3 linked regions of the Sus scrofa genome follow. The protein of the gene in region 1 interacts with the protein of each later gene in a biochemical or structural test. Links are inferred from orthologs where the notes say so. Each region holds a gene or a part of one and is shown in the gene's direction. Other genes may lie near its edges.

The links. The genes of interacting proteins can lie anywhere in the genome.
Region 2: the proteins of MCM4 (region 1) and CCNA1 form a complex in vitro, tested with the Homo sapiens proteins (2 studies listed by BioGRID and IntAct, with this or other methods). The link is inferred for Sus scrofa from reciprocal best matches to the Homo sapiens genes MCM4 and CCNA1.
Region 3: of the proteins of MCM4 (region 1) and DBF4, one has a biochemical effect on the other in vitro, tested with the Homo sapiens proteins (2 studies listed by BioGRID). The link is inferred for Sus scrofa from reciprocal best matches to the Homo sapiens genes MCM4 and DBF4.

What each region holds. Positions count from the first base shown.
Region 1 is NC_010446.5:79,672,431-79,679,578, reverse strand, and holds the end of MCM4 (DNA replication licensing factor MCM4), read left to right. Parts: coding exon 1-102; intron 103-342; coding exon 343-708; intron 709-972; coding exon 973-1,100; intron 1,101-1,887; coding exon 1,888-2,095; intron 2,096-3,018; coding exon 3,019-3,247; intron 3,248-3,598; coding exon 3,599-3,732; intron 3,733-4,391; coding exon 4,392-4,484; 3' UTR 4,485-4,842; downstream 4,843-7,148. UniProt on the Homo sapiens protein: Acts as a component of the MCM2-7 complex (MCM complex) which is the replicative helicase essential for 'once per cell cycle' DNA replication initiation and elongation in eukaryotic cells.
Region 2 is NC_010453.5:12,392,779-12,401,186, forward strand, and holds the start of CCNA1 (cyclin-A1), read left to right. Parts: upstream 1-3,370; 5' UTR 3,371-3,547; exon of another isoform or gene 3,548-3,711; intron 3,712-4,002; 5' UTR 4,003-4,026; coding exon 4,027-4,191; intron 4,192-7,045; coding exon 7,046-7,292; intron 7,293-7,478; coding exon 7,479-7,603; intron 7,604-8,055; coding exon 8,056-8,279; intron 8,280-8,408. UniProt on the Homo sapiens protein: May be involved in the control of the cell cycle at the G1/S (start) and G2/M (mitosis) transitions. May primarily function in the control of the germline meiotic cell cycle and additionally in the control of mitotic cell cycle in some somatic cells.
Region 3 is NC_010451.4:92,476,919-92,485,387, reverse strand, and holds the start of DBF4 (protein DBF4 homolog A), read left to right. Parts: upstream 1-3,431; 5' UTR 3,432-3,549; exon of another isoform or gene 3,550-3,606; intron 3,607-3,618; exon of another isoform or gene 3,619-3,864; intron 3,865-4,007; exon of another isoform or gene 4,008-4,067; 5' UTR 4,068-4,287; coding exon 4,288-4,333; intron 4,334-5,522; coding exon 5,523-5,695; intron 5,696-8,469. UniProt on the Homo sapiens protein: Regulatory subunit for CDC7 which activates its kinase activity thereby playing a central role in DNA replication and cell proliferation. Required for progression of S phase.

The sequences.
Region 1 (7,148 bases):
CGTGTGGAATTGCTTAAGGAGCTTTCCAGAAAACCAGACATTTACGAGAGACTTGCTTCAGCCTTGGCTCCGAGCATTTATGAACACGAAGATATAAAGAAGGTAAGGCGGGCTGGGGTTTCGGGCCCTCTGGGTAAACAGCCTCAAGGAACTAAGAGCCAGGCTCAGGGCCATGCCTGGCGGGACGGCTCGGCCGGTGTCACAGCTGCAGAGCACTTGCCTCCTGCCCCTGGTCCTCCTGCGCTCTGGTGACTAACACTGTTCACCGGGTAGAAAAGCGCCTCAAGCATTCAGCCACGTTTCCACCGCTGGCTGTTGGTGACTGGGCCTGTCTGTGTCCAGGGAATCTTGCTTCAGCTCTTTGGCGGAACAAGGAAGGACTTCAGCCACACAGGGAGAGGCAAGTTCCGGGCCGAGATCAACATCCTGCTGTGCGGGGACCCCGGGACCAGCAAGTCCCAGCTGCTGCAGTACGTGTACAACCTGGTGCCGCGGGGCCAGTACACATCCGGGAAGGGCTCCAGTGCCGTCGGCCTCACCGCCTATGTCACCAAGGACCCCGAGACGCGGCAGCTCGTGCTGCAGACGGGGGCCCTGGTCCTGAGTGACAATGGCATCTGCTGCATCGACGAGTTCGACAAGATGAACGAGAGCACGCGGTCGGTGCTGCACGAGGTCATGGAGCAGCAGACACTCTCCATCGCCAAGGTGACATACCGGGGCCTGGAGCTCAGGCTCTGGGTATTTTCCTGTCACTGTCCTCATAGAACTCAAGTTTGTCCTAAATGTTGTGCGAGGGGTCAGTTCCTGAGAAAGATGTGTTCAGAGCAAAAGCTGATCTGAAACAGCACAAATCTGACTCAGGGCGCTGTCCCTGGTGGTGAGGTCACTGTGCTAGGCCCTGTGGCTCGTGGTGACAGCAGGTCCCTGACAGAGGGACTAAGGCTTCTAACTGCACTGTACCTCTACTAGGCTGGGATCATCTGTCAGCTCAACGCCCGCACCTCCATCCTGGCAGCTGCAAACCCTATCGAGTCTCAGTGGAACCCGAAAAAAACCACCATTGAAAACATCCAGCTGCCCCACACACTGTTATCGAGGTATGGAAGTGTATTTTTATGGAAGATGGTTATGCTTTGCTCATTTAGAAAGGCTTGGGGGTGAGATGAAGAGAAGGAAATAGTTGAGTTCCCACTGTGGCACCGTGGGTTAAGGATCCAGCTTCTCCCTGTAAGTGGCACAGTGGCTTAGGGATCCGGCATTGCCACGCTATGGAGTAGGTCACAGCTGCAGGTCCGATTCGACCCTTGGCCTGGGAATTTCTGTGTGCCACGGGGGTGGCCGAAAGGAAGCACCAAGACAATGCGTGCCACCGTCATAAGCTGTTCACTGCAATGTAGATGTCTGCAGATCCGGTCGTCACGGGTTTTCAAGATGAGGACTGTGTGTTTCTCTGCTCCCCTGAAGTAGGCTTGTGTTTTCACCTTGGCCCTTGCAGAAGCCTGTCTCTGTGGGCACGGGGTCCTACAGCCGCTGTAGGGTCAGCAGCAAAGTGCAGAGAGCAGCTTCGTGTGGTAGAAAAGGTTCTGAAAATGTAGCTGGTGGAAAAGGAGTCACGTAGCCCACACTTTTCTCAGACATAGGTGTATTTCATAAGCAGATTTTAGATTTCGATGGCTCAACTCTTTTAACAAATGGTTCCTTTCCCCTGGAACTGTTGAATTATTTCCATTTGCATCTTCAGTCTTCAGAACTGTCACGGTGTTTCCCGACTCAGGAGCCTCTGGTGCCTGAGAGCTGCAGGGAGCATGCGCTCAAGGTGTGCACCTGGGCATCCCTGCAGGTGCACTGCTGTCTCCACAGGGAACCTTGACCATGTCTTCTCAGGTTTGACCTCATCTTCCTCATGCTGGACCCCCAGGACGAAGCCTATGACCGGCGTCTGGCGCACCACCTGGTGTCCCTGTACTACCAAAGCGAGGAGCAGGCGCAGGAGGAGGTCATGGACATGGCAGTGCTCAGGGACTACATCGCCTATGCACACAGCACCGTCCTGCCCCGGCTGAGCCAGGACGCCAGCCAGGCGCTCATCGAGGTACCAGGTCCGCTCGAGGCTGCCTAAGGCCCGAGCACTGTGGGCGCTATGCAGCCTCTGAAGCAGCCAGTGTTTGGGCAAGAGCAACAGACGCTCTTCTGCAACTACTTTCCCTCCTGTGTTGCATAACTGACTTTTCCAAATGTCGAAAGGGGAAAGGATTCATTTCTACATGTTAAGCACTTTTTTTCTATTTAAATACTTGTAAACATGGTATCCTTAAGACCTGAGCCAAAATAGAGGTGGTGCTACTTAGTTTTGTAACTCTGGTCTTCATCTACTTGTTTTTATGTTCACTTTTCAGCAACTTTTACATGGGCAGCACTGCATGAAGACACACATCAGGTTATTCACACATGATACTAAGGAAGTTCCTGATGTTTTGTTGGGCTGCTTTTTTTTTCAGCCATACTTGCAGTATGCGGAAGTTTCCAGGGCAGGATCAAACCCACACCACAGCAATGACGATACTAGACCACTGTAGAACTCCTTTTTCTGTTTGTTGGGGATTTTTATTCGCTCTTGATGGGCTTTACATCCTGACACAGGCCCCAAAAAATGCTCTGATGAGAGTTACACCTGATAGGCAACTGCCCATCTATATCATCTCGATGGAATTTGTCATCCATACGTGCATTTAAACAGTTGACCTCATTGCACGTTAGCCCAGTAACCCTTGGCTGCTGTGTAAACAGGCCAGATGGGTTCCTGATACAGCCCATCCTCTGAGCACCAGGCCCCTGTGTGTCCTGGGCAGACCCCTCGGCCCTAACAGTTTGAGGCCCGAGCTGGACCTGGCTCTTGCCCCCCTCTTGGTCTGCACAGAGAGGTGGGTAGGGGTTTGGTTTGCTTCTGGGGAGCCCAAGCAACCAGGGTTCAGACGTCATCATGCAAGAAGTGGCAGCTTGTCTGTGTGTTCGCAGGCTTATGTGGACATGAGGAAGATTGGCAGCAGCCGAGGGATGGTGTCCGCGTACCCCCGGCAGCTGGAGTCACTGATCCGTCTAGCCGAAGCCCACGCCAAAGTGCGCTTTTCAAACAAGGTAGAGGCAGTTGACGTGGAGGAGGCGAAGCGCCTGCACCGGGAGGCCCTAAAGCAGTCTGCGACCGACCCTCGGACCGGCATTGTGGACATTTCCATCCTGACCACAGGTGCGCTGCACGGGCACCGTGTCCCTCCCCAGACTGGTGGGGGTTGTGAGAGACAGACATGCCCACGCAGCAGTGTCTGACTGCAGAGGGCTTCGTGCTGTCCAGCATCCTGGGCGAGGGCAGCTCTGCTTCTATGCGGACGGCCTGGGCTGCTCAGTGGAAAGTCACAGCTTTGTGCTTATAGAAAATGGGAAGCAATTCAGAACTTGTTCTGACTTTGAGTGTATTCTGGCACTCAGCCACCATCCCCTAACCTTTTTTGGTGACGTGACTAAAGAAACATTAATAGAAATTTAAAACATTTTCACTTTGTTATAGCAGAAATGTCTTCATTAATTTCTTTTAAATCAGGAATGAGTGCCACTTCTCGTAAGCGGAAAGAAGAGTTAGCTGAAGCATTGAAAAAGCTTATTTTATCCAAGGGCAAAACACCAGCCTTGAAATATCAGCAACTTTTTGAAGATATTCGGGGACAGTCTGACATAGTAAGTGTTAATGTGTATATTTTGTTTAATAGAGTTTTCTTTTCCTTTGATGCTGCTTTAAAGTTTTTTTTTCCTGCATCTACCGTTGAAGTAATAACCGTGGATATAGACAAAAGAGAATCACCATCAGGGAACAACTGCAATGAGAATTTTGTTGGGTTTTCCGTTTCTATATGAATGTGGACACGTGGCCTTTGAACCTTATCAGTTTCCGTTTTTGTCACTCACTATTTTTCTTTTTCATCCGTGATACACTCTTAGCATCATCTGTGACGGTGAATAACCTCATAACATATTCAGAGTGTTTGTATATTTTTGCTGTTACACTGTTACTGTCACACATCTTAATAACTATCAAATCTATGTGAGGTAATAAGTTTGTTTGGGAGATAAAACACTTGGATTCCCTTTTGTGAACAAGGGAGGCTGAGCTGTTCACAGAAAGACCTCTGGTCGGATGCCCTCCTCGCCTGCTTTTGTGACACTCTTCTTGGCCCCACAAGGCAGAGCTAAGTGGCTACGCAGAGCAGAGCCTCTCAGCAGGGAATGTTTGCCTCCTGAGTGGGAGCAGGAGACAGTGTGCAGCTGCCAAGAAAGGAGATGCCGCAGTGACAAGGGGCTCCACATACACAACTTCTTTTTCTCTTCTCTCCCTGAAGGCAATTACCAGGGACATGTTTGAAGAAGCACTACGTGCCCTGGCCGATGACGACTTCCTGACGGTGACTGGCAAGACAGTGCGCTTGCTCTGAAGCCCGTGAGCAGCCTTGGGGAGAGCCTCGGGGTCGTTACGGGCTCCTTAGATGTTCAGTTTACTAGAGAGGTGCCGTGCAGAGTAAAGAGCACACGGTGGAGAGTATCTTCCTGTGTCCTCAAGTCCTGCTTCTGAGCACTAGGGCTGGACCATGTACAGACCACAGGAGGCAGCCAGGTGGGTGTTGGCCTTGTGCTGGATCTGTGATGGTGCCTGGAGGGTTCCTGTCCTTGCTGAGTCCTGGCTTGTTCCTTTGGCTACTATGAGGCTGGAAACAGCCCAATGTCTGGTCACTTTCTATTATTTCATCCTAATATGTATCAAACATTTTCCTCAATAAATGATAGAATAAATAATACTTGGTTATCTGGCATTATTTTTCATTACAAAAAAAAGCTTTAATAAACATGGAAATTCATGATGGTGAGTACTTTATCTAAATCATAAAAGAACTAAAATGGAATAAATTTCATTTTATTCAAAAATTACCTCATTCCTAGCAGTCATTCTCCTAAAACCACCATAGGCTAAAATCTTGGGTGGAAATGCTGCTGTGGTAAGTAACCCCTGCAACACAGAAGTCACTGGAGTTTGACAAAGGCTTTGATTGTTTTTTGGCTATACCCTCAACACATGGAAGTTCCCAGGCCAGGGATCAAACCTACACCATAGCAATGACCCAAGCCTCCATAGTGACAGTGTTGGATCCCTAACCTGCTGCAAAGGAGATCTGAATTGGCCTTTTTTTGGGGGGAGGTGCTTTTTAGGGCTGCACCTGTGGCATGTGGAGGTTCCCAGGCTAGGGGTCAAATCAAAGCTACAGCTGCCGGCCTACACCACAGCCACAGCAACGCAGGATCCGAGCTGCGTCTGCAACCTACACTACATCTCACAGCAACACCAGATCTTTAACTGACTGGGCGAGGCCAGGGATCGAACCCACAACCTCATGGTTCCTAGTTGTATTCGTTTCTGCTTCGCCAACACCAGATCTTTTAACTGGCTGAGCGAGGCCAGGGATCGAACCCACAACCTCATGGTTCCTAGTTGTATTCGTTTCTGCTTCGCCACAACGGGAACTCTCATGAATTGGCCTTTTTTATTTAGAATCAACATTCATTAGTAAAGTGTTCATAGAAAATTTTTTTTTCCTTTTGTCATTTCTAAGGCTGCTCACATGGAGGTTCCCAGGCTAGGGGTCTAATTGGAGCTGTAGCCACCGGCCTACGCCAGAGCCACAGCAACTCGGGATCCAAGCCGCGTCTGCAACCTACACTACAGCTCACAGCAACGCTGGGTCCTTAACCCACTGAGCAAGGCCAGGAGGGATCGAACCCACAACCTCATGGTTCCTAGTCGGATTCGCTAACCACTGAGCCACGACAGGAACTCCAAAAATGATTTAATTGAGTGTTTAAACAGCATTAAAATGTTAGTGTGGGTTAAATTTGGTCTCCGTGCGTCCTACTTCTTTCAGTGCCTCCTACTTAGAGGCCATGGTTGGGCTGGGGCAAAGGCCTGGAGCTTTCAGCTCTAGGACCAAGCTTGGCCTTCCAGCTCAGTTCAGTGTGTTTGGATGCTGCTCAAGGTCCAGTCAGGTGGGAAAGTGAGCCCCACCATGCCCGAGTCAGAAGTCTTGAGTCCACGTGTCTCCAGGTGGCTGGTTCTCAGGCCACTGACCAGTTGTGGGGGGCACACCCGTCTCTTGGGACCCAATGAGCAGGGCCACAGCAAGAGCTGCTTTGCCCAAAATTGTCTTTTTTTCTTTTTTCTTTTTTTGGCACAGAGGTGAAAAGCACCACGTCCTAACCAATAGGCCACCAGGGAACTCACTAAATTGTATAAAGTCATCGGAAGTCCTTACACAATTATAAGCTAATTAAAAACCACTGCTACCACCAGGTTCTGGAGCTGATTCCTTTACACAGATTTTTTGGGATTTTTTTGGCCAGGGATTGAATCCAGGCCACAACAGTGACAATGCCCAATCCTTAACCCACTGCACCACTGGAGAATTCCTCCTTTACACAGGTTGTAGACCTGATATGGAAATAAGACAGGGGTTTCCACCAAATGATTCTCAGCCTGCAGAACGGCTGAAACACTGGAAGTTCCAGAACATGTGCTCAGTACCCAGAGCCCCTTGGGAAATAGTGCACCCTGAGGATGTCGACGGAGGTCCTTCCCCCCGCAAGTATACCCTAGAGATATTTTTCCTGAACCTTGTCATTCAACACCAAGATGGAAGTTACTTAACAGCTGCAACTGAAGTTTGGTTCTCGGGGAATGTGAGCTGAATGAATATAATGAGGGTTCCATCCTCGTGTGATGGCTCAATGCTCGTGGGTTCTGAAAGCAGGGAGGGGCTCACCCTCAGTGCAGTGCAGGGACAGGTGCCTGTGAGGTGTTTGTCCCAAAATGGGGCGGGGGGGGGGGAAGCATGCAACATCCATAAGAGGCCATCCTTAAAGGCAGGAAGTCCAGGATTAGAGCTCTGCCCACCCAAGTCCTGAGCTGCCCCCTCAGGGGAGCCTCCCAACAGCTGGAGCCGCCTTACCCCCGAGCAGAAAGGTCAGCCTCATCCCCATGGTCCAAGGTAGTTTCTGAGCACAGGTGTGGCTGCCCAGGCTGGGACCTGAGGACTCAGGCACCTGGTCAGTGA
Region 2 (8,408 bases), on another chromosome or scaffold:
CTACACCACAGCTCACGGCAACGCCGGATCGTTAACCCACTGAGCAAGGGCAGGGACCGAACCCGCAACCTCATGGTTCCTAGTCGGATTCGTTAACCACTGCGCCACGACGGGAACTCCACATAGCTGTATTCTAAATGTAAATGTATACTGAGAACGGCAAAGGCATGACCATGCGCAGGCAAAATGTGTCCCTTAAAAGGACTTCTGTCCTTTAAAAACAAAACAAAACAAAACAAAACGAAACTGAATTTTCTACTTTTTCAGCCCTATGCTGAAAATCAACTTGATTTCATACCAATTAATGAAAACGTAAATGTCTGAACAGGAGGTTAATTACTAGCTACAATGAGCAAACGGAATAGAAGTAATAACAGCTTCTGAACCAGGTAATTGCTGGCAAACAGAAAAGATTCTCTTTGAATTGAAATTTGGATGGGGGAGGAGTCAGTTTTAATAAGACTTTTGGGTTTTAAAAACCCCTAGTAAAGAATTCAGCTGTTATCCTTATTATGAAAATTAATCTCAGCATCAAAACTAGCTAGGCACCAAATATCAGGAGAAGTGCTGATCAAGTAATTTAAGCTAAGAAAGTGTTATATTAGCATATAAGTTATACCCAGTATTTTAGACATCAAAGATGTATCTATAATAAGACGTACTGTTCGCTTCTCAATATATTAACAAATACTTTATGTAAAACATGCAGACATTGAAAGTCTACTCAGCTTTGAGTTCTAATCCTGAGTTTGCTCTAGCAGCAAAACTATGAATCTCACTAAAACTGCATAATTTGTGAGAAAGTCCTTTCTATTCTCTGCTTCTATTTTTTCTAATTATAAGGCCAGGTTTTCCCTGAAATTTTTAATAAAAAGCAAGCATCTATTTATTAGGTGAGTTTGTTTTTAGGACGTGAATCATTACTTGTTCAAATATTTAGTGAAGATCTTTTTTTAAAACTCAGGAAAGCCATAAGTATTGCACAAGTAATACAAATACCTGAATTTATATGTGCACACACATAAAGATACATAAATATCAGTTCACCTAAATCACTCTCCAATTTAAGATCTGACCAGAGGACTACAATGATTTAATACGGAATTTTATGGCAGCACAACAATACAATCATAGGCCATCTATCATTTCCTTTTGCCAAGTTGAACAAAGTGGATGGAGAGAGAAGATGGTAACATGTAATAACAATAATGACAATATCCGAATTAAGGCTGGATCAGGCTGCAGCTGTTCACATGAGGGAGGAAGGGGAAAATAGGTATGAAATTCTCCAAGGGTCCCATCTAGCTTAGAATTATCTTGGTGAGACTTGCTCCTGGTCCCTAACAGAGTTCACTGCTAAGGTATTCAACATCCTCAGAAATCACAAGTGTCCCCAAATGAGGGAGGGCTCTGGGGAAGACTTCCAAAAGGGGCACAAGGCGAGAACGAGGCAGAAAGGCTCTTTTTCTTCACCAGATAGCGGCAGCTTGCAAAGCCAGGCCCTTGGTGCCTACATCCATTACCACAAATTGCTGGAGCTCCCCTGTTGCCTTCATATTCAAAGGCCTAGGGATTTCAGGGTGCAAAGGGATTGCTGCTTGCCAGTGAATCAAAGTTGGTGGTAAACAGGTAGAAGCTAGTTTCATACTGAACAAAATCCTTTTCTGTGCCCCTTCTGCATCCATACCCATTTCCAAAAAGCTTCCCAACTTCCTCTTACATCTGATTTGAACAGTCACTTTCATACTCATTTTCAGTAGAATACTTCAATTTTCTCATTAAAGTAATGCATACACAGTTTGCTGGGTGAACACATTAAGATAGAACAGAGGAGTGGTTTTCTTGGGGGTAATATTAACAATTACTTCCATTCAAAATAAGGAAGGTGGTAACTAATCATTTCTTTCTTTCTTTTTTGCTTTTTAGGGCTGCACTAGCGGCATATGGAGGTTCCCAGGCTAGGGGTCGAATAGGAGCTGTAGCTGCAGGCCTATACCACAGCCACATCAGATTCAAGCCCCGTCTTCCATCTACACCAGCAGCTCATGGCAACGCTGGATCCTTAACCCAAAGAGCGGAGGCCAGGGATCAAACCGCAATTTCCTGGTTCCTAGTCGGATTCCTTTCCGCTGCACCACGAGGGGAACTTTGATAACTGATCAGCTAATCATTTCTTAAAATGCTCATTTAAATGGTTTTGGTGGTCTGCTTAGGGATGAGCATTTAAAAAAATAAAAGCAGACAAAAGCAGCAACGTTTTATATGCAATGTGTATATGTGTGTGCACACAGATACACACACATGTGCACACAAATATTTTCCAAAAAATCACAACGTTAAAGACTCTTTTACCTGCCTTGCCAGTTAACTTCTGCGGGTGGACCCCCATCCAAGGATTTTCCTCCCCACGTGGCGAGGCCACCTGCCCCGAACCCAGTTCCGAGCCTCATTACGTTCTCCCTCAACGTCCCAAGCCCCATCGCTGCCACCCGCGTTCCTTCCTCTTCCTGGGCCACTATCTCGGCGTTCCTGGACCCGCCTCAGGCCGTGACTGCCGGAACCCGCCAGGGAAGACCTCTCGTGGGGACTGTCCGCACCACGTGCGACCCTAAAACCCCAGATCTCCTCTCCCACCCTGCCGGGCCAAATGCACCAGAACCCGGGCCGACCAGGAGCAACCTCTGGTGCGCAAGGACTCAAAATGAGCGAGGACACGCCGCCACCACGGATTAGGAAGCCCCAGCCCAAACCAGGGGCCAACCCGCAGCTATGTGGCCTCTCTCTGGGAGAAGGTGTAGGTGTGTGGGCCAGCGAAGGGGATCTAGCCGCGCTCTGGGGCGGGCGCGGTCAAGGCGCCACGGCCTGCGCAGCCCCGAGGGCCCCGCGTCGCTCTCCCGAGCCAAGGTTCTCAGGAGCGGGCCGAGGAAAAGACGTTGGCGGGAGGAGTTAGTGGCTGTTGGGAGAACGGGTTCAAGGAAACAGTCCCTTCCAAACCCTGGCCATCGCGGGGTGGGCCTTCTTCCTCCCTGCCAGACCCGGGAGGCCAGCCAGAAAGGGCGCGGGTGCCCGCGGCGACCCGCTCGCCCGGGCACGCCCGGGCAGGGCAGCGCAGGAAGAGCCCGGGGCGGCTGCCGGTTGGTCCCTCCCAGCCCTGAACGCCCAGGGGTCGCGGTGCGTCCGCCCCGAGCGTGTCAGGTGAGGAGGTCGCCATAGCGATGCGACCCGGATCGCGCACGCCGGCCGCGGTTGGCATGGAAACGGCCCCCCCGTGAGGCCCGAGAGCGCCGCTGATTGGCCGATTCAACAGACGCGGGGGGCGGGGGAGTTGAAAATAATTAGAGCTGAGGAGCTGGCAGCCCAGGCTGAGATCCCGGCGCCAAGGCTGGAATCTATTAACACCTCGGTCCCCTTCCGCCTCGCCCCGCCCCGCCCCCGCCCCCTTAGGCTGCCCCTCATTCCCAATCCTGGTGTGCACTTGCCAATTGTTCGAGACATATATAAAGACATAAAGCTGAGACGAGCGAGGCCCGCTGTGGGCTTCAAGCAGGTTTTGGGGTCTTATGTCTTGCGGGAGGAGGGCCGCGGAAGAGCACGCTTCTTGTCACTTGGGAAGGGGATATATTTTCCCACAGTGATGTATCCTGGGTCGACTGCAGGCAGAGGGATGGTGGGGTGATGGATAAGTCTCATAGCCGGAAAAGACATAGACCTGTAGGTTTGGACTCCCAATTAACCTGGGGCTTAGTGTCCGGCCGTGGAGGTCTGCCTTCCTCCTTCCAGCCGTCAGCCTGGTTTGGGAAGAAAGCCTGGAGAGATTCAAATCCCTGTTTTGGTTCAAAGTAGCTTTGATCGCTTGCACCGTGGCTCAGGCCTTTTCAACCCTAATAACTGCAGTGAAGATCATATGTTTCAGTGCTCTCTCTTCTGGGGATTTGCTGCATTCTGGAGCCCGTGCTGGAAGAGGTTGACTAACCAGCATGTCTGTTTCTCCTTCCCTGATAGCAGTAGCCTGTGGAGACTGAGGCTATGCATCTCAGTAGCTCCAAGAGCGGGAGAGTGCTGGCTCCAGTGTCCGGAGGTCCTGATGCCTGTCAGATGATGTCCAGAGCCCAGCTCAGCCAGGATCCACCACAAAGAACAGTACTAGGGGTGCTAACCGAGAATGGGCAATACAGGAGGACCTGTGGCCAGGTAACGACTGAGAAGAGCTGGGACGGTTACCTGTTGAGAAGGGCTCTCATGTCATGGTGAGAGGTGGGTTTCTCTGGCAGTTTTACCTACAGACGTCCCCTGAGTATTTCAACCCTGGAATCTGGACTAGAGGGACCTTGATTTATTAAAGATTTCTTTCTTGGGTCCTTTTTCTAGCTAGAAATATTGAATACTTTTCTGTTATTTTTCCGATATCAAGGAAAGAAACCTAGGAACTGTTTAGAGTAAGTATGCGTAAAGTCATTTAAGTTCTGGGCTAAAAGGAAATGAGAATGCTCCAAAATAAACTGTGGAACTGGGGTTCCCACAGATTGGAGCGGTATCCACACTGATCTCGGCTGTGCCTGAGGCATCCTGGGTAACTTTTAAGTTCATTGGTGATGGTGTAGAATCAGGATTGGATCAGCCTATCCTAGATTACTTCAAAATGCGTGCTTTGAAAGTAGACTTCTCTCCAGGACTGACTAAGGACAGTTGGGCAAACAGCTCATGGGCCATCTGACATTAGTTGCTTGCACTTAACGGATCAGAGATACTTCCTTTAACTGATTGTAAACAAATTCAGAGACTTATAATGTAAAAGAGGAGTTTGGATCCTTAAGAATGAATTTTGAGATTAAACAAAAAAAATCTAAGTCTGTTATTAGACAAAGCTTCTCATAACCATGCCTTAAGTCTGTAGTGTACATATGTAGTGGAATGACATTGGCAACCATACAGTGACATAGGTGGGCAGGTGTTCTTTCCATTTTATATGTGAGCAAATTTGAGAGGTTTAAAAAAGACCAAAAAAGAAAAGAAATTCATGATGGAGACCAGATCAGAAGCCTCTCCTCATCTACAGACTATTCAAGTCATCTGTTTTGGTGACATCTGATTAGTGAGAGAAAAATACCCAAAGTAATGTTTCAAGCGTTGGAAAAAACAGAGTAAAGGTGGTTTTAACAAACTTAATGTGCTTAGTGGTGTTTACTTCTTTAAACTTGAAGTTGAAAACCTCTTACGAATTGGCAGTTACACCTACGCTGACTGAGCTCACTTTAAATTCACAACTGTCAATTAAGCTCTGTGTTGCCTGGCGATACCTCTACATTTCCCGACTCTATTCCTCTGCACCCTTCTTATAGAAACCTCCTATTTTATACATTCCCTTCTCTTTTTATCCTTGAAAGCCTCCATCTCCATCCTTACTCTCAGTTAATAACTATATCCTATTTTCCTAAAAATATAGATGTAACCGGAAGAGAATTTCCACATGGTCCCGTGTACCTACCATATACTCTGCCACCCCCTTCCCGCTACGTAACCCATGTGTCCCTGCTCTTATGCAAGGGGAACGCCCCGTGTGTGCAGCACACCTTATGCCCTTTTGCCTTTTTAAGGATATCATTCCATCACCTTGTCTTTCTCTTTTCCACTGGATCAAACCCAGAAGCATGAAAATATACTGTGATTTTTTTTTTTTTTCATTCCTAAAAACCTTGCAACTACAAAGCTCTTTGCAGCAACTGTCCCATTTATGGCAGTATTTCTTGAGGGTTTGTCTATGTAAATTCCATCAGGATGAGGGTTTGGGACATTGGGTTTACTGCTGTACTTCCAGTGTTTAGAACAGTGCCTGGCCAGGGTAGCATGCGAGGATTTATTGAACAAATACTGTGTCTCAGATTCTTCTCTTGTTCTCTTTGACTCAATTCTTAATCAGTTCTCAAGCCTTTCCTTACTTGACCAGTTGGCAGCATTTGACATTGTTGATCATTCTTCACTCCTTGAAATAGTTTCTTCTCACGCAGTCTGGAGAACAGGGCCTGGTTTCCAACCTAGCTCACTGGCTGTACCTCCTCGGTGGTCCTTCCTCATCCGCTCGCTAAAAGTTAGAGTGTGCCAGGGCTTCGTATTTGAGCTGAATCTCCACTCACTCCCATAGCAATCTCTTCCAGTCTCCTGGCATTAAATACCATCTCTCTGTTGATGACTCATTCTTTTAGCTCCTGTCTGGACCTCTTAGCCATGTTGCAGGCTTATACAGTCAGCTGCCTCTTTGATGTCTCCACTTACATCATATGGTAGGCATCTCAAACTTATGTGAAATCAAACGCCATCCCTGGTCTCAACCTGTTCTTCTCAGAGTCTGCCTCACTGCAGCAAATGGAATATCCACCTTTCCTGTTATTCAACCCTAAAACCTTGGTCATGCTTGACTCTTCTTCTCCCACCCCACATCTGATTTGCTGAGAAAATACTATTAGCTATACTTTTTACAGTCTCTAGAATCTCATTATGTCCTATAATAAGGTTCTATGGCTTGTAAGAGAATTTATGTATATACCTTTCTAAAATCATCACATCTCTAAATAATCAGATATAAATGGGAATTTTACAGAAGCTTGTTGACTAAAAGTTAACTATTTAAGGACAATAGGAACTCAGTAACTATGTGGCAGGAACCTTGCTGGGTTGGTATAAAAGCCTGTGATGCTATAAGCATGAAACTGATTTACATTTCCCCCCCCCCCGCCATATGTGGTACCTATTTCACTTCAGAGGAGAGCTATAGTTTTTCTTTTTTGTTCTATAATCTTGTGTTCTCTTTGATAAATACTGTGAGGAAGATGACAAATTTTAGGTAGCTCCTTTCCCAAATGTCAAATGTAGACAAATGGCAAAGTCATTCTTCAGCAGCTTCATTTTCTGAAGTTCAGTGGCTGACACAGATACTTCAATTTAAGATTCCTCTCATCTTCCCAGACTACCAGTTTGAATTGCACAAGTTCTTAACACCTATTTGGTCTATGGGATGGCCTCTAACAAAAAAACCTTAACCCTTTTCTAGGAGATCACAGCACTCAGGTGTTTCTCTGGATCCGAAAATGTCCTCCCTCCAGCCGGAAAGAAGGTGCTCTCTGACAGCGGGGTTCAGGCACCAGCCAAGCAAGGATTTGACATCTACATGGATGAGCCCGAGCAGGGGGACAGAGACAGCTGCGCAGGGAGAGAGGGGATGGCATTTGAGGATGCCTATGAAGTAGACACCAGCACATTCAAGTCAGACCTTCACTTCCTGTTGGACTTTAACACAGGTAATCTGACGCACCTATGGCTGACAGTACCCTGGGTTTGTAATCGCCGGCAGTGTTCACTAGCATATGGCAAGCAAAAGATAACCACCAAGTAGTAATGGTTTCCACAACTGCCTATGGAGGGTTAGTGGATGGAACTAGTTTTTAAATTAAATGTCTTACCTGACAATGTTGAACCCCCTGCAGTTTCCCCTATGCTGGTAGATTCATCTCTCTACTCCCAGTCTGAAGATGCATCAGATTTTGGTACAGATGTGATAAATGTGACTGAATATGCTGAAGAAATTCATCAGTACCTTAGAGAAGCTGAAGTGAGTCCTCCCAACTTCTCCTTCCATTCCCAGCACCCCAAGCACTTCATGTTGAGATAGGTATAAACTCTCGGCCATAACCACTAGTGAGTGGCATTCTTGTAACATGTAAACACTACGAACATGTATGAAAAATAATAGTTGGGAGGTGAATAGCAATTACTTGGACTATTTATCTAAGACTCAAAGGGTTAGTATATTAAGTATTTCACTCTTGAAATGAGCATTATCGCCCCCCTGCCCCGTTTAAGTTCCTTGTTAATGAATGACATTACAGAACCAGAATTTCGTACTTTCTTCCATATCATCATCGAGATTTATTTGGCTCTTGATTGAGTTTCCTCCTAGCCTTTGCTCATGGGGTTTTTAAAAGTAGCAACTGTGCTGTGGAGTGATCAGTGATCTTTCCATCATAGCAACTATTTAAGTATCAAAATTCTCTCCCCAAGCAGATGAGATACCGGCCTAAAGCGCACTACATGAGGAAACAACCAGATATCACAGAAGGCATGCGAACGATTCTGGTGGACTGGCTGGTTGAGGTTGGAGAAGAATATAAGCTTCGGGCAGAGACCCTCTACCTGGCCGTCAACTTCCTGGACAGGTTTCTCTCGTGCATGTCTGTTCTGAGAGGGAAGCTGCAGCTTGTAGGAACAGCAGCTATTCTCCTGGCTTCGTAAGTGTTTTTCAGCTCAGATAATGTGATACTTCAGCCTGTCAAAACACTTGATTTCGACTTATTTATTGAAGAAATGCAGCCCTTAATAGTAAAACTTATGCATGCCTCCTTTGATGAAATATCATC
Region 3 (8,469 bases), on another chromosome or scaffold:
ACTCAATATGTTTATTGTTCCTTGGTTTCCCAGCCTATCCTAACCTGAGGCATGGACTTCAAGGCCATAGCCACTATCCTTTCATAAGCTTAGCCTGGAAAACTAAAAACTAACCTCAGAAAAACCTTAGGCCCTCCAATTCACCAAGGTAGTGAGACTCTAAAACATGAAAATTAACTAATAAAAATAGCAAAAGAACACATTTCAGGAGATAATATATCAATAAATTACTGGGATATTACTGAAGGCCCCAAATAAGGAGATAAAAGGTTGAATCTAAGTCAGGCTTGCTATGAAAAAGAAAGAGGAGCAACCTCCAGCCAGCCAGGTAGAGAGGCTTAAGAAAAAGAAGAAAGGGAAGTGGTATTACAGAAGAATGATTAAATCCATTTGTCTACACTCTAGAATAAAAATGTATATTTGGGAGTTCCCGTTGTGGTGCAGCAGAAACAAATCTGACTAGGAACCATGAGGTTGCAGATTCCATCCCTGGCCTCACTCAGTGGGTTAAGGATCCGGCATTGCCATGAGCTGTGGTGTAGGTCCCAGATGCAGCTCGGATCTGGCATTGCTGTGGCTATGGTGGAGGCCGGCAGCTGTAGCTCCTATTAGACCCCTAGCTTGGGAACCTCCACATACCACAGGTGCAGCCCTAAAAAGCAAAAATAATAAGATAAAAATAAATTAAAAATGTATATTTGTATATATATGAGGTAGTCTGAAAAAACAAATTAGAGCCTCATTTGATAATCACAAAAAGGTGTGGGGTAGACAGGGCACATATTACTTCCATTTATAGATGAGGAAATTGTAGTAGAGCAGGTTAGTATTTTCCCAAGGTCATAAAATTACCTAGGATTAGAGCCAGTACTGAATGAAATTCATTTTCTCTTGATTCAGAGCCAAATGTTTTATTTAATTAGACCATGATTCTCTTCAATGGTCTGCAACTTTGCTTGAGAGAACTTTACCCAACTTTTCACAAGTAACACTGCCCCATTTCTTTTTGAATGTATACCTTTCATGTGAAGCTTATCAAGATGTACTAACATAAACCTCATTACCAACAGTCCTGATTATTTACATGATAGTAAGGAGTCCACTAAGGAGACTTATGTTAACAGGCCACAGATATATGACCATGTCCCTCTTCTGGTGGCTACTAAAAGATCTGAGTTTCATTCCCGGCTTTTTTTGGGGGCGGGGGGCACCTGCAGCATGCATAAGTTCCAGGGCCAGGTAGGGATCAAACCAGCACCACAGCAGTGACAACACCAGATCCTTAACTAGCTGAGCCACCAGGAAATTCGTTGAGTTTCAATACCGTTTCTTTTTTTTTAGGGCCACACCTGCAGCATTCAGAACTTCCCAGGCTAGGGGCTGAACCAGAGCTGCAGCTGCCAGCCTACACCACAGCCACGCCAGATCTGAGCCACATCCTGGACTTACACGGCAGTCTGCAGCAACGCTGGATCCTTAACCCTCTGAGCTAGGCCAGGGATGGAACTTGCATCCTCATGGGTACTAAACAGGTTCTTAACCCACTGAGCCACAAAGACAACTCCCAAAAATAATTTTTTTAAATGTCCTTAGGTTACAGATCAGACATTTTTTAACACTGTCCAGTAAAAACAGACTTTCTGCTTATTCACAGCTTGACATTATCACTTACAGTGCAGTCAAGGGTGTGTCTAAAAGCCTAGGATGACAATATGTTACTGTTCTTCCTCAATACAGTAAATAAGAAAGGTACCTCATCTTTCCCTGGAACATAAAATAGACTCCCTGTTTTTCTTTTCTTCAACAGAAACATGTATAAATCTTTCCCATATCCCCCAAACCTCCCCAAGACCCTATTGTCCCTTCCTATAAATTCCCTACAGGGACAAATTTTTTAGTAATATATTCAACCTGTCTCCACTTCAAGCCCATCATTTTTATATAGTACTTACCTTAGCCATCTACTGAAACTGTCACTAAGTAACCAAAAAACATCTTCATCACCAGAATCCAAGCCCTATTTTTCCAGTCTTAGCCTTTTGGAACTCTGAAGACGGAGAGGCTGATAACAGGAGTTCAACAAAACGACAGCACTTGCCAGCTCTCACTCTATCAGGCACTGCACTAATAATTAGCTCTCAAAAGAGTTTCAATTAATTCTCAGAACACCTGGAAGTGTTTATTACCCTCTTTTCACAAATTAAAATCTAGATCAAAATTACCCAAAGCCATATAGTTAGTAAAGCCTGTCAATCCCAATGTTTTTAACTATGTGACATTTGAAGACTGGTTCCCAGTTCTAACTCTGTGGCCTTTTCTCCATCTCTTTCTCTATTTCCTCATCCTCTGCTCATCACTACTTCTCCTATTTCACATGCTCTCCAGGGCAATTTCATTTTCTCCCATGACTTTAACTGCATTCTATATTAGGTGTTTCTCAATCTTTTAAAACTTCTTGTGAACATATAAATCTTGTGCTCTTTTTGTAGCCTACATTTTGAAAACAGATTTTATTTCCCAAAAAGAAATTCTAATGGAAATATGTTTGTTCAAACTATACCTCCTCCAAGATCTGATAACCTTTTACATATCACCCTATGACTGAGAATCAGTGATTGGTCTGTACCATGTCTCTCAAATCAATCTATATTCCCTTTCTGTGCCACCACCATCACTCCCTCCAGAACATCTCCCCTGAATTATAGACAAATATTACCAAGCGTCTAATAAAGACAGTTCCACACCTGTCTCCTCAAGCCCCTCAAACTAAAACCATCACTGCAAAACTCTAATTTCCCTTAGCAAACCTGGACCACCTCTCTGTGCTCTCCATTTTGACTAACGGTATTACAATTTACCCTTATCTTTGCTTTAAACTACCTATTTGTGAAACGGTGATATCGGCACTAACTTCCCCGAGCTACTGAGTTAAAAATCAATCATTAAACAATAAGTGACCACCGAGGCCAGGAGGTAAGAAAAGCAAAACAGCACAAGATTTAACCCTTTTTACTCTTTAAGAAGTTTAAGAGCAGAAACACCAAAATTCATTTTGTATGTGTAAGCGCTCTCCCACTTAGAAAATTAATTTACTTCTCAAAACATTCAAATTTATTCTTTACTACAAGTCCCGGATGAAAAAACTGAGTCTCAAAGGGATTAGGTAATTAAACCCAAGTTTTACAGGCTAATCGGTGGTTGGTCCAGACCCCAAATCGTAGACTTGAGATTTCGAATTCCCCTTTCGTTCTGTTATTGCTGAAATAAACTTCTACCCAATAAGACGAAAACAACAGAGTGCACAGCAGAGGTTAACTGAGCGGTGCACACAAGCATCAAAAGGCACAAAGCGCCCCGGACGCGCTCCAGGCCGGGGCCTTCAGGCCCAACCCTCGCTCCGACGCCCCCCCCAAACCCGCCGCCGCTCTCTGCCGGGAGAGTCCCTTTGCGGCCTGCCTCCAGCCAGCGGGGCGACCGCGGGAAAACTACGCTCTGCGACTCTGGGCGAGCCGAACAGAGTCTGTCGCTGCCAACCTGCCCGGCCTAAAGGTGAGTCCTGGCTCGGCCGCAGCCGCCGCGCTTCCAGCCCTCCGGACAGGTCGAGGAAAACTAGCGTACCTGAGGGAGGAGGCGGCTGCAGTGCAGGCGGTCCCAGCAACCTCAAAAGGCGGGAATGACGCTGAGGGCAGGGTGGGCCGGCCTTTGGTGCTAACTGCATTCACTACGTTTGGTCAACTCCGAGCCACAGGGACTGTACAAAAAAGCATAGGGACAAGAAGCAGCAGGAACCAACCGCGAAGATGAGGCTGAGAAAGCATCGCAGTGGGGGAGGGGAGCGGGTGGAGACGCGGCCCGTGGGGGCGGGGCGCACGGCGGGAGGAGGCGGGGCGTGAGGGGTGGGGCGCGCAGCGCGAAGAGGCGGGCACGCAGGGGTCCAGCGCGACGCGAGGGGGCGGGCACGTGGGGGCGAGCGCGAGGCGGGGCGAGGCGTGCCGCGTGAGAGGGGGCGGGGCGCGCGTATCGGCGCCGCGTCGCGTGACGCGTTTTCAAATCTTCAACCGCCGCAGCCCACTCGTTGTGCTTCACCTTTTCCTGCTCCGCGCCCTGGGGTTAAGTTCGGCCCCGGAAACCCGGCGGATAGACGCGGCCTCTCTCCTTCGTGGGTGTGGTGGCCCGCGGAAGAGGAGAAGCGAGCGGCCGGTCAACGGGCCTCGAGGAGCTGTGTTTCCGCGGCCACCCGGCGCGACACCCTCCCCGGACCCAGCATGTAGGTACCGGCGAGTTGCCATGAACTCCGGAGCCATGAGGATCCACAGCAGAGGACATTTCCAGGGTATGAAGCCCCTCCTCCGCCCGCAGTCCCTTTAATCCTTTCCTCCCCTCCTGGTTCCATTATTAATTCTTGAGATTTCTCGCGCTGAGTCTGCTGCTTTCCTATTCTGACATGTTCCTTCTGCTCTGAGGCCTGAAGGAAGGCTCGGTTTAAGGTTTTGCCTCAGAAAGTGAGTGGATCCCGGCCCTGCTCTCGCGCCCTCAGCGTTCCAGCTTCAACCGCAGATTCCCAGTGGTGCCTTCGGTTGTGAAATCTGAAGACAATGTGCGAACCCGGGAACTCTCCGGGGCTCCCACAGACGCTGCGACCGTTTGAGGCTGTAGCTAGAGTCTCTTTAAAAGCAGATGTGCTGAGGGCTTTTCGCTTCAGGATTAAATTGGGTGATTGTGGGTGTAGATTTTTGGTTTTACTCATAAAGTGGAGGGAAAGTATTTGTATTTCAAACACACCATTGTTGTTTTCAAAATAGAAACAAAGGTAAATTTTCATTTTTCGATCACTTTTATTTGGTAAAGGATTCCAGCCTTTAAGTTTTCCTTTTAGATGTATAGTGTATATGTATATTTACTGTGGTCTTCTACTTATGAGCAGATTGAGTCCTTAATTTTTTAAACAGTTGTTTGGATCTCAAATTTGTTTTCAAAAGAATGAAATGAATGGTGATTTAGTTCTTCAAATGGACCATTTAGTTCTTAATATGTACAGTAACTCTGACTGAAACTAAACCTTGAGCAGATAGAAACTAGAGGATTGGGTCATTCTGGGTAACAGGTTTCTTGCATTATTTGATGTTCAACATGTTAAGTACCAGTTTTGAGTGTTCAACAGAATGGCAGAAGCTCCTTGAGTATTTGGTAAGTACTCCACGGAGTTTACATCCTAAGATGTAATTGGTTTCATATAGTTCCCTGCCTTAACGCATAAAACATGAATAAACACGTATTTCCTGCAAATCTAACTACTGACTGTAAGCAGTAATTATTTTGTGACATAGTGTTTGTTAAAATATATAGGGTATTTTGCCTTTATTCTGTGTGGTACTACAAAATGTTAATGACTGCTAAATTAGTGAAATTATAAAGATTTTTCCCTCTATATAGTATGATTATTATATAAACGAATATTTTCAAAACAGTAGAAATTTCATCTACATAAAACATCATCTGATTCTAAATTTTTTAAACAACAGGTGGAATCCAGGTTAAAAATGAGAAAAACCGACCATCTTTGAAATCTCTGAAAACTGATAACAAACCAGAAAAATCCAAATATAAGCCACTCTGGGGAAAAGTGTTTTATATTGACTTACCTTCTGGTGCCCTGTCTGAAAAACTGCAAAAGGACATTAAGGATCTAGGAGGGGTAAGTCAAAACCATACACTTTTGACGAAAAAAGAAAACTTTGTAACTAGTACTTTCTAATATGTAATCATTTAAATTTTTCTTTTTGGAAAACTTACAACCACATAAACACTAAGCTTAAAATTTCTATCAGCTGTTGATCATAAATGATAAAATTTTCAGGTTTCTGTGATTATTAGTCTGGTGTAAAGTTCACAAAGAGTGAGATTGTCTTCTGGTTGTCTTGTTGGGATATCCTCCAGATGGAAGGAGCTTCTTGATTATGATTGGGAAGCTACATAAAAGAATGTTATTTACAGAACATGGAAAACTGTTCAAACCACAAAGACTTAAAATTCCTCTTGAATGATAAAGTCTCAGTAGAATGAATGTCATTAAGAAAACAATTTTGGATTATAAGTTATTATAAATTATAAATATGGAAAACCTGCTTCTTTCTTACCTTATACATGGAGTAAATGGTTAGCAAATTAGAAAATTTGGGTTAAATTCTAAGATTTTCTTAGAATTAAAGTTAATATGGGGTAAATTTTAGTGAGGTTAAGATTATATTTCCTACTTCAGAGGTTTCTGCTGTGCTTTGAATTTGTGCTAGTTAACATCTTTGAATAATATGAGCAGATCCTGCCATGACTGGAATTTGCAGACCATGTAACAAGTGTTTTGTAATTGTTTATTGATGTGATATTTTACTTCATCTTGGAAGAGCTACTTTTTTGCTATTCATTTTTTAAAACTAAACATTGTCACACATTTGTCATAATAGTTAAGTACTTAAGTATCCAGAGAAGTTAAGTGACTGGTCCAGGGTAGAATTAGCCTAATTTCCTGACTCACACACATGTACTGTGCTATTCTGATCTAGCAATCAATGGCTACAAACTACCTATCATCTGATGTAGTTTAACAGCTTTCTGTTAAATATGATGGAAAAATTCATAAACCCTTCTGATCTAAAACAGTAATTTTAGATTTGTTTTTAGCAATAGAACCCTTCTAACAAAACATGTTCAGAAGTCCAAAGTACATAGCCAGTAAAAGGAAACTGCTCTAACTAAAACAGCAGTGTAATAGCTAGTACAGGGACTCCCTGCCCTGCCCACCTTTTTTTCTCTCTCCTCTTTCCCATAGCAGTTCCTGAGGCAAGAAATTTTGAGTTAACTTACGCATTAGATAATAATTTAGAGACAGTTTGAAAGCTGGTTTCATATACTTCAAGTTTTTATCCTAAAAAAGTTTGAAGTGGACCAGTGAAGTGAGGAGCATGTTAATGGCAATAAGTGTCCAAATTTTTCCCCAAAGCTGTGGATTTTTTTAACTTTATGACTTAATTTCTCCTAAAAATTTTTATTATCAAATTCTTACCTCCCCACACATGCAGACACAGATGCAGCTCGGATCTAGCATTACTGTGGCTGTGGCTTAGGCCGGCTACTACAGCTTCAATCTGACCATTAGCCTGGGAACCTCCATATGCCACTTGTGCGGCCCTCAAAAGACAAAAAAATCTGTTAAAACTCCTCTGTGTCCCATTGTCTATTCAGACCTCAGCAAACATTTGTTTACCAATTTATTTTCCCATCTCCATGTCAATTGCCTTCCTCTTCGTTGATGTCTACCCCCGCCAACATCCTCTTCTGTCTTTAGCTGCATACAGCATTTAAGGCAAGGGCTTAAGCTATTTTGTTGAACTACGCAGTTTTCCTGGGTCTCCCCCATTTGTATACATGTTATTAAAGGTTTGTTTGATTTTTTTTTTTTTTTTAAAGGATCAAGGAGCTCCCTGGTGGAGTAGTGGGTTAAGGATCCAGTGTTGTTCCTGTTGTGGCTTGGGTCGCTGCTATAGTGCCAGTTCAATTCCTGGCCTGGGAACTTGCACATGCCACAGGAACAGCCAAAAAAAACCAAAACATAGATCGAGATCTAAACGTAAGAGCTAAAACCCATAGAGGAAAATAAAAGAAATTTTCTTTTTTTTTTTTTGCTTTTTAGCAGCATATGGAACTTCCCAGGCTAGGGGTCCAATCAGAGCTGCAGTTGCTACAGCTTCCAGCCTACACCACAGTAATGCAGGATCTGAGCCGTGTCTGCCATCTACACCACAGTTCACAGAAATGCCAGATCTTTAACCCACTGAGCGAGGCTAGGGATTGAACCCACAACCTCATGGTTCCTAGTTGGATTCATTTCCACTGAGTCACAATGGGAACTCCAAAAGGAGAAATTTTCATGACATATTTGGCATGGATTCCTTGGCTATGACACCAAAAGCACAGACAACAAATGAAAAAGATATGTTAGACTTAATAAAAATGAGGTTTTGTACATCAAAGAACATTATCGAAAGGGTAAAAAGATAACCCACACAAGAGAAAAAAAATTGCAAATCAGGAGTTCCCGTCATGGCGCAGTGGTTAACGAATCCAACTAGGAACCATGAGGTTGCGGGTTCGGTCCCTGACCTTGCTCAGTGGGTTAACGATCCGGCGTTGCTGTGAGCTATGGTGTAGGTTGCAGACACGGCTCGGATCCCGCGTTGCTGTGGCTCTGGCGTAGGCCAGTGGCTACAGCTGCGATTGGACCCCTAGCCTGGAAACCTCCATATGCCGCGAGAACGGCCCAAAGAAATAGCAAAAAGACAAAAAAAAAAAAATTGCAAATCATATAGCCGATAAGGGATTGATATCCAGAATATAAAGAGCTGAAACTTAACAAAAAACAACCCAGTTTTTAAAAAATGAGCATAGGTTATGAATAGGCATTTCTCCAAAGAA